3 linked regions of the Bombyx mori genome follow. The protein of the gene in region 2 binds, or shares a complex with, the protein of the main gene of each other region. Links are inferred from orthologs where the notes say so. Each region holds a gene or a part of one and is shown on either strand. Other genes may lie near its edges.

Region 1 (4,395 bases), on a different chromosome or scaffold from region 2:
CAAAAACATTATTTACTCTGCGTCATAATGCAATTAAATTATTAAAATCAACATATGTATTTATTTATATATTTATTAGAACATTAACAAAAAATATAGGTTAATAATTGTAATAATTTAATCTTGGGGTAAAATAGATATTCCTTCTATTAAGTCAAAACTAGAGCTGTTGCCAGGTCTTCGTTCAGTTGAAGCGAAGCTGGTATTTGTAATTTTTTTTTCGTTATCATAATCTTGACCATTATCATCATCACTGTTTTCATCACCCGAGTCGCCATCATCGTGATAAGTCGACATAGGGCTCATCGGTGTAGTTTACGACTCGGTCGGTTCGATCTTCTTTTTTGTCTATAATTAATTATTTTTTGAAGATATTCGATTCGTAGTAATCGAATGTTACTTTTTTCAGTTACCAGCTTCCGATTATTTTCTGTTTTTTTTTTCCATCTGAAGCCTAGCTCTTTCATAATTCGTCGTAAACTTCATACCGAGCCATTAAAATGTATATCTTCTTTAAAATTTTCGAAGCCTTTCTACGGTACGGAGTTTCGCTGCTTGTTATGTAGTTATTATGATTACATCTTTTTATTACAGATTGAACGAAACTATCCATTCCGGTAACTTTCTTCTTCCCTGATCTTTTCTTACCCGGAGTCCCAAGCACGATGAGCAAGCCAGAGCCTTTAGCTTCGTTAATAATGCACCTAACAGTACTCACTGATGTTTTTGTTGCTTCCGAAGTCTGTTTTACTTTTTCCATAATATCATTCTTCCCCTGTTTTATAATGAAGCAATATACGTCGTACACAATTTTTCTACCCTTTCTTTTGAATACTACACCAGTTTGTCGCGGCATAGTGTATTTTTTATAAAAAATCAACAAACACTCAACAAATAGCAATGGCAACAAAGTCAACAAGCAATTATAACAAAATATAACTTAACGATTAATAACGATATACTTTTCACTGTACGCAAGCGTACTTTTGGGAGCAAGCGGAACGAAGGCGCGGTGCGGGACGCAAGGTTCGACTGATCTACCAATAACGCGCTCGATACGATTTCCCCTGCCGTCGCGCCTCACCCTCACCACCAAAGTGATCTAAAATTCGGTTCTGCGCAGTCAAGGTCATTTGCTCACGATGTTTGCCGGTTACTATACCAAGAAGAAAAGAGATATATATATATTTTGGATATAAAGATAATTATCATCCTTTTATATATTTAACTCTTTATATTTTAATGAATTAATAATGAAAATTGCCGACAAGATGAGTTAAGTAATATTAATTCTGTAAAATATAAATAGCGGTCTGATTTCCTTTCATACTTAACAGGCTTAGGCCTGTCAACTTAGTTGCAAAAGTTTAAATACCTACATAATTTAATAAAAATTATATTTATATTAAATATTCGATCAAATCAAACAACCAAGCGATCAATCGAATAAGTCGAATTATTCGAATGAACGAAGTGATGGTTAGTTCATCGAGCTCATCACTGTTTCATTAAAATGTCAATGTCTATGTCTTTGTCAAATGAAATTGACATGTTCGGAAACCACAGACAATATCAAAATAATTGAAAAAAAATCCGTTGGAGTACATAATTGCGTTTTTGCGTTATATTTATTTTCTATTTATTATATTTATTACATAAACTGTAAAATGGCCACTTTCGATTTAAATTCATTAAACACAGTGCTTGATGAGCCCGCACAGCCGGAAACCGGTGTCGATTTTTCTGGAAAATCTCTAAAATTGGATACCGCGAAAGATGGTGGGTCTATTAACTAGAGCGAAGGCCGTGTAATTCTTAACACGCATAGCTAATCAAATATTACATAAAACATACTAGTTGTTTATTTGAAATTCACTAGACGCGCATGTAAAAAAATCGTCTACAACATAACCTAAAAAAGTGAAATAAAAATAAACAAAACAAAATTTGACGCGATCTCGTGTTTGTTCAATTTGCTTGGAAATAAAGTATATTTTCTATATTAATCAGATTTGGACTTGAAATCATAGCCATAGTACCAAATTTGATACTGAATGAATGAATGTGTTACCTACATCAAGCTTAAATTGTTTCAGCACAACAAATTGTAGACGCGATCAATAAATGCCCGAACCTCCAATATCTTGCGTTGACCGGCAATACACTGGGTGTGACGGCCGCCCATGCGATCTCCAAGGCCTTAGAATCACACCCTGAACTCAAGATAGCCAGATTCTCGGACATGTTTACTGGGAGAATGAAAACTGAGATCCCGCCAGCTTTGGTAAGGCTTTTTCCCAAAATCTAAAATGAAGAGGACTTTTTATTGCTTTTGTAGTCAGACGCTTATACAGCTTAGCTAATGATAAGGGCTATCTTTGATAATGAATATGAGTAATGTCACATGCACAGCCGAGCAGCTGACTAGAAACAATTGAATTTATTAAATGTCAAGAAATTTAATTTCAAATTAAAGTTTTTGTAGTCTAAAGGACATTTGTATAGAGCGAATCCTGAAGATAGGTATTCATTTACCACATTTAGGCTGGTGACAATATCTAGGGGGTATCACTTATTATTAAGATTATTTCATTTACAGAGTGCTTTAGGTGATGGCATGATAGCAGCTGGAGCTCGTTTAGCTGTGCTGGACCTGAGTGATAATGCATTCGGCCCAATAGGAGTTGAAGGTCTTGCTAAGCTGCTGCAAAGTGATGTCTGCTCTGACCTAGAGGTAATTTGTTTAATAGCTCTTGATAATGAATTTACAGTCATATGGTACAGGACCGTGTGGGAGGTCACCAATGCCATGGGCCGACCAAATTAAAACTTCATTGGGAAGAAGAAGAATGAATCTACAATTAATGCCAGACATATAACCCATTGAGTTTCTTGCCGGATCTTAGTGGATTAAAATCCTGAGCTGCTGATAGAGTCAACAAAGCAATGCTCTTGTTAGAGCAAATGTTAGCAAAGTCTCTCAAGCTGAGCTCCATTAGCTTGCCCGATCACAGTGAAACTTTATTACGCATTTAAGGCTTCTGGCGATTATGTAGGGACACAAAGAATCAAATCTTTATCACTGGATAGGTGGATGTACATATTCGGCATGCCTGGCATTAAGTGGTTATTGTTTGTGTAGACTGACTGATGCCATACTCAAGACATGTATATCTATGTAATATGATAAAAAAATTGCATCTTTCTCTACGTAAATCAATTTTTTGTCTTATCATCAAATTGTTCTCAAAAATCTTTATAATAAAATTCCCTTTTTTTGTTTCATTCCCACTGCTATAATTTCTAGCACTGATCAGATGTATTTATTAAAATCACTTTATAAAGCTTACAAAATACGTTTCCAGGAGCTTCGTCTGAACAACAACGGCCTTGGCATAACCGGTGGTAAGTTGTTGGCACGCGCACTCTCCAGTAGGAAGCGGAGACTACGGGTCTTCATAGCCGGGAGGAATCGTTTGGAGAATGACGGTGCCACCGCGCTGGCCAAAGTTTTTCAGGTGTGTTCATTTCTATCAAGCTATCTCGACCCCAGGCTCCAAGTCTAAAGTATTTCCATTACTGAATAAAGAATATGAACCTGAGAAAAAAAACGTCAGCCATAGAAACATTGATTGAAATGAAAAATATTATAACTTACTAGCTGACCCGGCAGACTTCGTAGTGCCTCAATCGATAAATAAAATACCTAAACTTTTCTATAAAATAAACTTAAAACAAACAAAAGAAATCTATCCGACGAGTGACACATCAAAGTAAAAACAAAATTGTAATTTTTATTTCATTCCGAGCATTTTCATATTTATCTACCTTTTAAACCTTCTCTGGACTTGCACAAATAATTCAAGACCAAAATTAGCCAAATCGGTCCAGCCGTTCTCGAGTTTTAGCGAGACTAACAAATAGCAATTCATTTTTATATAAATAGATAGATTAGTTTTCTTTTCAATGGGTCAGTACCAGACAAATACATAACAAAAAGCAGCTGATTTGCTAAAGCGGTTGATAATTTCCTTACAAAGGTGATAAAAATATACCTGATTAGATCTGGGCATCTCTCAGGTGTTCATTTGTTTATGCAATATAAATAAAATATTGTACACTTGTTCACAGGAAATGGGTTCCTTAGAAGAGATAGCTATGCCACAGAACGGTATATACCATGTCGGTATAACGGCTCTATCGGAAGCATTCAAACACAACCCGGCACTGAACCATCTTAATTTAAATGACAATACTATCGGGGCTAAAGGTGCTGAAGCCATTGCCGGTGCCCTGCCAAGGTAAAGTAAGCACTGAGTGAATTATCAACTTCTATGTCATTATTGTCTTATTATTTTATTTAGCGAACTAGCGGCCCGCTCCGGCTCCGCTCAG
Region 2 (4,288 bases):
ATCAATCGAGCGTGTAACCCAACTTGAAATAAGGTTCAAAGTTTCCTTTTTTATTATTCTCATATTCTTAATGAGAGGTTGTTTAGTAACTGCTACGCCATTTAAAGCTATGGCTTGACTTATATTTTCAGACATTACTTTGTAAACATTAAGCATGTCAAGGTATATCCTTCCTAATTGCACAACATATGGGTGTGCTAGTGCACGACATGCACGCACATTTGTTTTCAGTATACTTACAAGTTGTTTAACAGCTTCAGGGTCTTTCAAGATTTCAACATTACGAGAAGCTTGAGATATAATATCATCCCAAACTTGATTAGGCAGAAGCATGTATTTTTCAATTAAAAGTTCTTGGGCTACTTGATCTACTTGGGCACTGATCATGTATCCAACAGCTTCATAAAAAGTGTGAACTTGCAATGTTTGTAAATCACAAATTATAGTACTAATGGTGCCCAATATTTCTTCAATAAAAGGACAGGCTTCTCCAACTTGAGTAGTGACAAAATGTCGACGGCATTTTATAGCAATTTTTATGAATGTATCACACGCCATGTCTTGGACACCATCATGTGTTTCATGCATGAATTCAAAAAGTTTATTGACAACGGTTTTTAAAAATTTCCAATGTGCACGAAGAAAGCGTGGGTATTGTCCTACGACATACATTATGTTACTAGCAATTATAGCTTTGTTATCTTTTCCCTTTTTCTGTTCACAGAGACCTAGAAGCTCTTTAATCACAATAACCAAAAATCTCTTTTCATCATCCTCAGATAGAGCTCCAGAAATAGATCCAATTGCCCAACATAATGTGTTCAAGTTCTTCCATGACCACTCAGTACCATTTACTTGATTTTGTAATTTCTCTGTCATAATACGTTCAGTATCTAAATAGTCTAAATGTGTCAAGTAAACTAATGTTTCTCTCATATTTTTATACAAATTAATGGAGTCTGTGTCCTTCATAAATTCTCTCACAACTTCACCATTTTCATTTTCAACAACTAACACCTCTTCTGGTTTTGCCATTCTCGAGATCATAATATACCGAACACTGCTCAAGACATCAGCATACAAAGCTTTTCGGCCTCCACTTTTACCCAAATGGTACAAGTTTGACGAACATGGCGCAATTTTGTACAAATCAGCAGCAAGAGCATTCCAATATTCAAGACAAATTTTGAAAATTTCTACATCTTCTACCTCTGATATTAAGACAAGATACCTCAAACCATTCATTAAAGTGTTTGTTAATCCACTCTTTTCTATGAGCGGACCATGCTCTTTTAGATATGTGCATAAGAAAAGTGCAAGATTTTGAATAAAAACTTGTTCCTGATCTCGACCAGCTACATATGCTTCACGTATGTTTGTAGTTAGAGGAAGCATAACTTCAAGTTGTTCCATAGTTTGTACAAACAAATAAACAAACTGCTGATCATAATTGCTGACTGTGACACCGGCAATTTCAGTAAGACAGCTCAATGTTACATTCCTAAACATCGGCACGTTCAGAAACTTAAATATCAATGTGCTTATCAATTTCATTTCGAAAATATAACCAAGTGGAATCCAATTTAAAAATCTCAAAAGAGTGTCTAAGGTCACTCCAACTAAAGGTGCATTTTGTGAATTTTCCAAGACAAATTGGCATAGCTGAAAGATTTGACTGAATTCTGAACACATTGTATCTTTTAGATGCTTAGCTTTTGTTTGTGTGAGCTGGCCTGTACTAAACATAAATACTTCTTCACTCAACAACTTGAATATTTCCATATTGTTTTGACAGAGACTTTCATTCGTCTTTGAGGCACCCACAATGTCACTGATAAAAGTTTCCCAATTATGGGGCCATTCTCTTTTCAGAACTTGAATAAGGATCATGTTTAGTTTTTTCAAATAAACTTTGTTGCTTTCCATCGTAACAGGATCTGATGAATTTTTAATGATAAGGCCAACTATATATTTTTTTATACCCTCACACTGATTTCTTGGTAATATTTTCCATCTCGTTAGTATTACTTGTTCTAATATTTGTAATGCATAATATTTAGTTTCTTGATTTTGAGAATATTCAAGTATTGTATCAACACGAGTCCAAGCATCAGGATGTTCCTTCAAAGCAGTCAGTATATCCTGAGCAACACGTTGTTGATCCCCAACAGCAGAATATAAACAGCCAACAATGTTGTCCAATAAATTGATGTCCAATTTTTGATTGAAATCCAAAAGTTTAGATGCCTGTTGTTCTAAGGTTGCCATTCTGGTAAAATATATTTATTTAGTTAATTTGTTCCCTTTTTTCCAAAATCAAAATTATTTTGATTAATCCACATTCATTCCTCACCTTATACAACACTGAAAATGAAACAAAACTCTGTGTTAACAGACTCTACTGACTCTAACCTCCATATCCTAATTGTTTGTTTGTTTAACAAACACCGACTTAACAATTATGCTAGTAAAAACTACTTTTAATACTATAATTCGGTTAAGCATTTAACTACAAACTGGGCAATTACATCATTAATTGTTTAAAACCACTAAATAGAGCACACACCCCGCAATCTTGTTGCAGATTTTACTACAAGTACATTCATTACACTAATCACAAAACGTGTACTAAGTGTAGGGATACTCGTTAGAATTGTAATTTTTCAATAACTTAAAAAGTGAATCACTTACCCGAGAAAATAATTTGCGGCGCAATCAATCTAACGCACTACCATACATACTAATCCGTTGTTTTCATGAAGCTTGAAAAAGCTTACACATTTAGTCTATGGTCATAGAAAATACTAGTGCGGAACTCCTGTTGAACGTTGCATTGCATTGACTACAGTTTACTCAATGTGATTTCTTTTAAAATTTAGTGGAGAAATCTTCTGCAAATTTAAAATTAAAAGCTAATTAATAAGAAAAACTTATTCACTTCATTCTATTGCTAATTTGGGTTCAAAAACAGAAATATGGACTTTTTAAGTTAAGTGAAGTTAAGTTGTAAGTCAAGTTAAGTCAGTGTAGCTTCCCATCTCATTTGTTCAAGTCCGTTAAGTTTCAGCAAATTTACACCAACCAACACCAACTACAATTACATTTAACCACAAGTTATTGAGATATTACTTCTTTTTATCTCACTTGCTAGGCTGTATGCTAATATTTTTTATATAATTTTTATGTTGCCATTGTAAGTTGTGAAAAATAAACTATTTTTTTTAGTTTTTGGTATCTATGGTATTTTTTATCTATGGTATTTTGTGATTAAAGGCTTATTACACTTGGCTGAATTTAGTCGACTGACTTCAGAAGCAAATTTAGAAGCTTCTGATTAAACTGTTTTAAATTCAGTTACTGAATCAATTGTCAGTTTAAGCGCGACGAAGTAAGACGTGTCGTGTGCGTAAGAGGATGGCCCCAGTATTGTCTAGACAACAACAAATTTTTTGTTTTTATTTTTTATTTCAATTTCTCAAAAAAAAAACAAGAATATCGGTAAAGAAATATTTATTGCTGTGCGGAATGTTAGCAAATATGAACATTAGAGTGATTTAGAACCAGCAGACTTCAGAAATTATCTATAAATGGATTCGATCTCGTTTGACCTAATATTAAAACTTGTGACACCGTTTATTCAAAAGCAGGATATTATCCTACGATAGTCTATTATATATCTATTTTATAACTATTACATATCTAATCCTACGATATTATAAGTCCAAAAGAAAGATTGGTTGTAACATGAAGATTTCTTGCAACAGGAAATACGTATCAAGATTTAAAATTTAGTTTTTCAATATCCCAACCCTTTATGACAAAAACTATTCCTGAAACATGTCGGGCTATTTATAAATGTCTGGCACATTAAATAAAGGCGACCGAAATCAATACTTTTTATTCGGAAGCAAAAAACAAACTAAAACGTTCTTACGCACGGAGAGCTATGGGACGACTGAAACCATTAAGTAACTAAATGCGATTACACCTTCCTAGATGCATTTCTAATTAGGCTTCTAAATGATTTAGTCAGTCAGAAACCATCCTTGCTACTGAATTCAGTAGCGACTGAATTATTTTTGTAATTTTTAAGTACCCAACCTTTACATGACCGTTCGAAAGATTAATTTATAATAAAACTCATAGAAGATAGTAAATACCATCACTCAACTTGCTAGGGCCAGTGTTGGCAACACTACCGGTTTGAGCCTCGTGAGCTAAACTACAAGGAGAAGCTGAAATAGCCTCTCAAGGATATCAGCATAGGTAGAAAACAAAAACACGCAAG
Region 3 (3,624 bases), on a different chromosome or scaffold from region 2:
ATTATTTGCGTAATTACTGGTGGTAGGACGTCTTCTGATTCCGCATGAATAGGTACCACCACTCTACCTATTTCTGCCGTGAAGCAGTAATGCGTTTCGGTTTAAAGGACGTGGCAGCCGTTGTAACTATACTGAGACCTTAGAACTCATATCTCAAGGTGGGTGGTAGCATTTACGTTGTAAATGTCTATGGGCTCTTGTAACCACTTAACGCCAGGAGAGCTGTGAGCTCGTCCATCCATCTATGCAATAAAAAATAAAAAAAAACATCTTCAGGTAGGCAAACCTTAGAAATGAATTTGTTAAAATTTTTGGCACGGTTCGGCCTGGTTACGCGTCCCCATAGATGCTATTGCGTAATTGCTGCGGCGTTGAGATATGATATCGAAACCTGAAGATCTAAGTTGACCCTGCTCTTCAAACTTAACCTGAGTACATAATGATTTTTGACTGTCTTCTTCGTCGCTTTCTCTTTACTGAAGGTCGTGACCACGTTGGTCTAGTTTTTGCATCAGCTTCTTTCAATGTTGCCTGCATTCGGCGTGCTTAATGGCGCCTGGGACGCTGGTGTTTGTGGCCTCCTTGACAATGTCCGTTCGCCTGGTTGGCGATCTTCCTCGACTTCTCTTTCCTTCCACGTGCTCCTACAAGGCAGGCTGGTGGCACCCACCCGCGCGGACTCACAAGAGGTCCTACCACCAGTAATTACGCAAATTATAATTTTGCGGGTTTGATTTTTATTACACGATGTTATTCCTTCACCGTGTAAGTCAATCGTGAACATTTGTTGCGTACGTATTTAATTAGAAAAATTGGTACCCGCCTGTGGGATTCGAACACCGGTGCATCGCTTCAACACGAATGCAGCGGACGTCTTTATCCGTTAGGCCACGACGACTTCTTGAGTTGACTGTCTATTTATGTATTTAAATATTATTTCAGGTCCACTACCCGACGTCCCGACCGAACGGTACAAACGACGCAGTCGCGTACGCGTGCATAGACTACGATAGCGAACAAGAATTTAATACTTTTTTTAATAAATTGCGAACTGAAATATTAGATAGTTTTAGGTGAGTCAAAACAGTGATACTCCTAGACGATGATACTATTTATTACTTTCTCGACATTAATATCCATCTCCAACCTACATTGAATATTAGTGGCTGCAAGATAATAGGTACTTACCGCAGCACATAGACATTGCAGTATGGAATTGCTGAAGTCTTCCATGGAGAACTAGGTCGAAGTGTCACGTCATACCTCGCCCTTCAGACCCGAACGTATGTTTGGGTTGTGAAGACAGTGTGTAGCCTCATAACAGATACATATTCCTTAACACCAGCGCTTAAGATTTAAATTAGGCTGTCCGTAGTAACTTGAAGTAGATTGCTAGTTTCGCAGATTACCAAACACTGAACTGAACTTAAACTAACCCATAGACACAGCCCACTAAGTTTCTCGCCAGATCTTCTCAATGGGTCGCGTTTCCGATCCGGTTGTAGATTCTGCGAAACACTGCTCTTGTTAGGGCTAGTGTTAGCAACATCCCTAGGTTAGAGCCCCGTGAGCTCACCTACTCGTTAGGTTACGCTGGCATCGTCTCTCAAGACTACCAGTTTAAGTAGGAAAAATGAAGAACTTAAATACAGATTTGTAAATTCTATCATACTCTGCGATTTGATATACATATCCAGAATAATAAGTAACGTTTACATATTACAGTTAACCCAGGGAGAATGTTACATAATAATTTATTTTTTTCATATAAAAAACCTTTAATTAATGATTCTTAGTAGTAGTAGTAGTAGTAATAGATATTAAGTAGAATTTTAAATTGTACAGGTTTTGTATGATGGCGGCCCCACTAGTGACGTGGTCGTACGTGGAGCAGTGGACGCAGTCGGCGCTGGACAAGCTGGAGTCGTGTCCGCGCGCGCTCCACACGCAGCACCCGCTCTACGTCGAGTGGGAGGCGCTCACGCAGGTATCTCTTTATACGGCCCATTTCTATTTTATATTTTTTATGCCTATTTCTACTGTGAAGCAGTAATGCGTTTCGGTTTGAAGGGTGGGGCAGCCGTTGTAACTATACTTGAGACCTTAGAACTTACATCTCAAGGTGGGTGGCGCATTTACGTCATAGATACAAGGGCAATAAAAAAAAATTAAAAAAAGATGTCTATGGGCTCCAGTAACCACTTAACACCAGGTGGGCTGTGAGCTCTTCCATCCATCAGAGCAATAAAAAAAATATAAAAAATACGGTACTTTTACGGAAAGCAGCGGCTTGGCTCTGCCCCTGGCATATCTGACGTCCATGAGCGACGGTAACCACTCACCATCAGGTGGGCCTTTGCTCGTCTGCCTGTACGGAGAGAAAGAAAGGTTAAAGCGAGCTAGGTCGTTTCTCTTAAACGCATCATTCAATACTACAAGAGAAATTTGAATAAAAAAAAAAAGTAATTCATGAAAGGAAGAAAACCACAATAACACACAATGCAAAAGAAATTTCACTTCTGTGACGTGCGCCAAGTTGCACTCGCACCAATTTTTTTTCTTCTCTTAATCAATTTTACAATAATCCTAGTAATATTTGTCTTTATTTGACAACCAATTTAAATCAAAACCGGTAGATAGCGTAGCCTTTTCCCAGCAATGAAGACTACATCTAAATTTATTATTAGTATTATGACGTCAACGTTCAAGAATTCTGAATAAGGATTTGCGCTGCTCGAAGATCTCAATCTCCACCAACAAACCTTTGTACACCGATTTCAATTAATGAGATATATTGGATGGTTTCTAAACTTTTTATTTTTGATAAAACTATTGACTAACAAAATTTTAATAATAGTTTATAATTTATTGAAAATTTTCTTATTTATTTTTTAATTAAGTAGCTACACATTTTCTGTCCAGTTGTATCAATGGGTTATGTTAAAAGATTAAAAAATATATCGACGCTTGAAAGGCAAACGTGACTAAGCGATAATGCGTGAACTTTACAGTAGACTAATTTAAAGTTGAAATACCTGAAAAAAATTTAATCTAGCTGTAGGATTGAAATGATTTTAATAGACTTAAAAATATATTTTTTGGTTATTGCCTATCATTTATGTATAAAGCAGTTATTATCGCTTAGTCACGTTTGCCTTTCAAGCGTCGACATTTTAAATTAAGAAAATGTCCGTTGTGTGTACGAAGGCGCTGGACGTGGTGCTGTCGCGGCTGGTGGAGACGGAGCCCCGGCCCAGCGCCGCGGCCGGCCTGGCGCTGCTGCAGCGCTGCGTGCTCACACAGCCCTCCGACCCGCTCTTGCTGTCACTGTTATTGTCACTCATCTCCGCGCTCTTCGTGTTCCTCAGCTGCGCCTACAGCCAGCTAGCAGGTACATATCGTCATTTCGCATTAAAAGTGTACAATTTCCAAAAATATTCGAAATTGAGTTAATATGCGGAATCATTTGGTATCACCATTATTTTTCTCATGAGTACTGTCAAAAGAGCGTACTTATAGTTTTAGTTTTTTTTTTTTTAGTTTACCTATATTTTGACTACCTACTATTAACAAAATTAATACATAATTTTATCTTTCTTTAAAAGACAGATAATGTAACCGGTA

The links.
Region 1: the proteins of exportin-1 (region 2) and ran GTPase-activating protein 1 are in contact, whole or in part, in a cryo-EM structure (PDB 9B62), measured with the Homo sapiens proteins. The link is inferred for Bombyx mori from reciprocal best matches to the Homo sapiens genes XPO1 and RANGAP1. Residues at the interface, in NP_003391.1 of Homo sapiens: Lys245, Ser248, Thr249, Tyr252, Lys253, Glu281, Gln282, Val284, Thr285, Leu289, Met292, Gln293, Gln296, Arg340, Asn342, Leu343, Lys514, Val518, Ile521, Lys522, Leu525, Glu529, Arg532, Lys534, Lys537, Ala538, Ala541, Met545, Phe554, His558; in NP_001265580.1 of Homo sapiens: Ala2, Asp5, Ile6, Leu9, Ala10, Thr12, Leu13, Ala14, Thr16, Gln17, Val18, Ala19, Gln22, Leu23, Ser24, Phe25, Lys28, Glu44, Arg55, Ala561, Thr564, Lys565, Pro566, Ser568, Glu571, Ser572, Ser574, Phe575, Arg577, His578.
Region 3: exportin-1 (region 2) and exportin-5 share a complex: the UniProt entries of both Homo sapiens proteins name them as parts of the nuclear export receptor complex. The link is inferred for Bombyx mori from reciprocal best matches to the Homo sapiens genes XPO1 and XPO5.

The regions. Positions count from the first base shown.
Region 1 is NC_085117.1:346,747-351,141, reverse strand, and holds the start of ran GTPase-activating protein 1, read left to right. Parts: upstream 1-1,526; 5' UTR 1,527-1,538; coding exon 1,539-1,779; intron 1,780-2,096; coding exon 2,097-2,284; intron 2,285-2,599; coding exon 2,600-2,734; intron 2,735-3,365; coding exon 3,366-3,518; intron 3,519-4,131; coding exon 4,132-4,301; intron 4,302-4,395. UniProt on the Homo sapiens protein: GTPase activator for RAN. Converts cytoplasmic GTP-bound RAN to GDP-bound RAN, which is essential for RAN-mediated nuclear import and export. Mediates dissociation of cargo from nuclear export complexes containing XPO1, RAN and RANBP2 after nuclear export.
Region 2 is NC_085118.1:10,175,587-10,179,874, reverse strand, and holds the start of exportin-1, read right to left. Parts: upstream 2,852-4,288; 5' UTR 2,692-2,851; intron 2,365-2,691; 5' UTR 2,269-2,364; coding exon 1-2,268. UniProt on the Homo sapiens protein: Mediates the nuclear export of cellular proteins (cargos) bearing a leucine-rich nuclear export signal (NES) and of RNAs.
Region 3 is NC_085119.1:13,766,544-13,770,167, reverse strand, and holds part of exportin-5, read left to right. Parts: intron 1-942; coding exon 943-1,073; intron 1,074-1,845; coding exon 1,846-1,987; intron 1,988-3,207; coding exon 3,208-3,391; intron 3,392-3,624. UniProt on the Homo sapiens protein: Mediates the nuclear export of proteins bearing a double-stranded RNA binding domain (dsRBD) and double-stranded RNAs (cargos). XPO5 in the nucleus binds cooperatively to the RNA and to the GTPase Ran in its active GTP-bound form.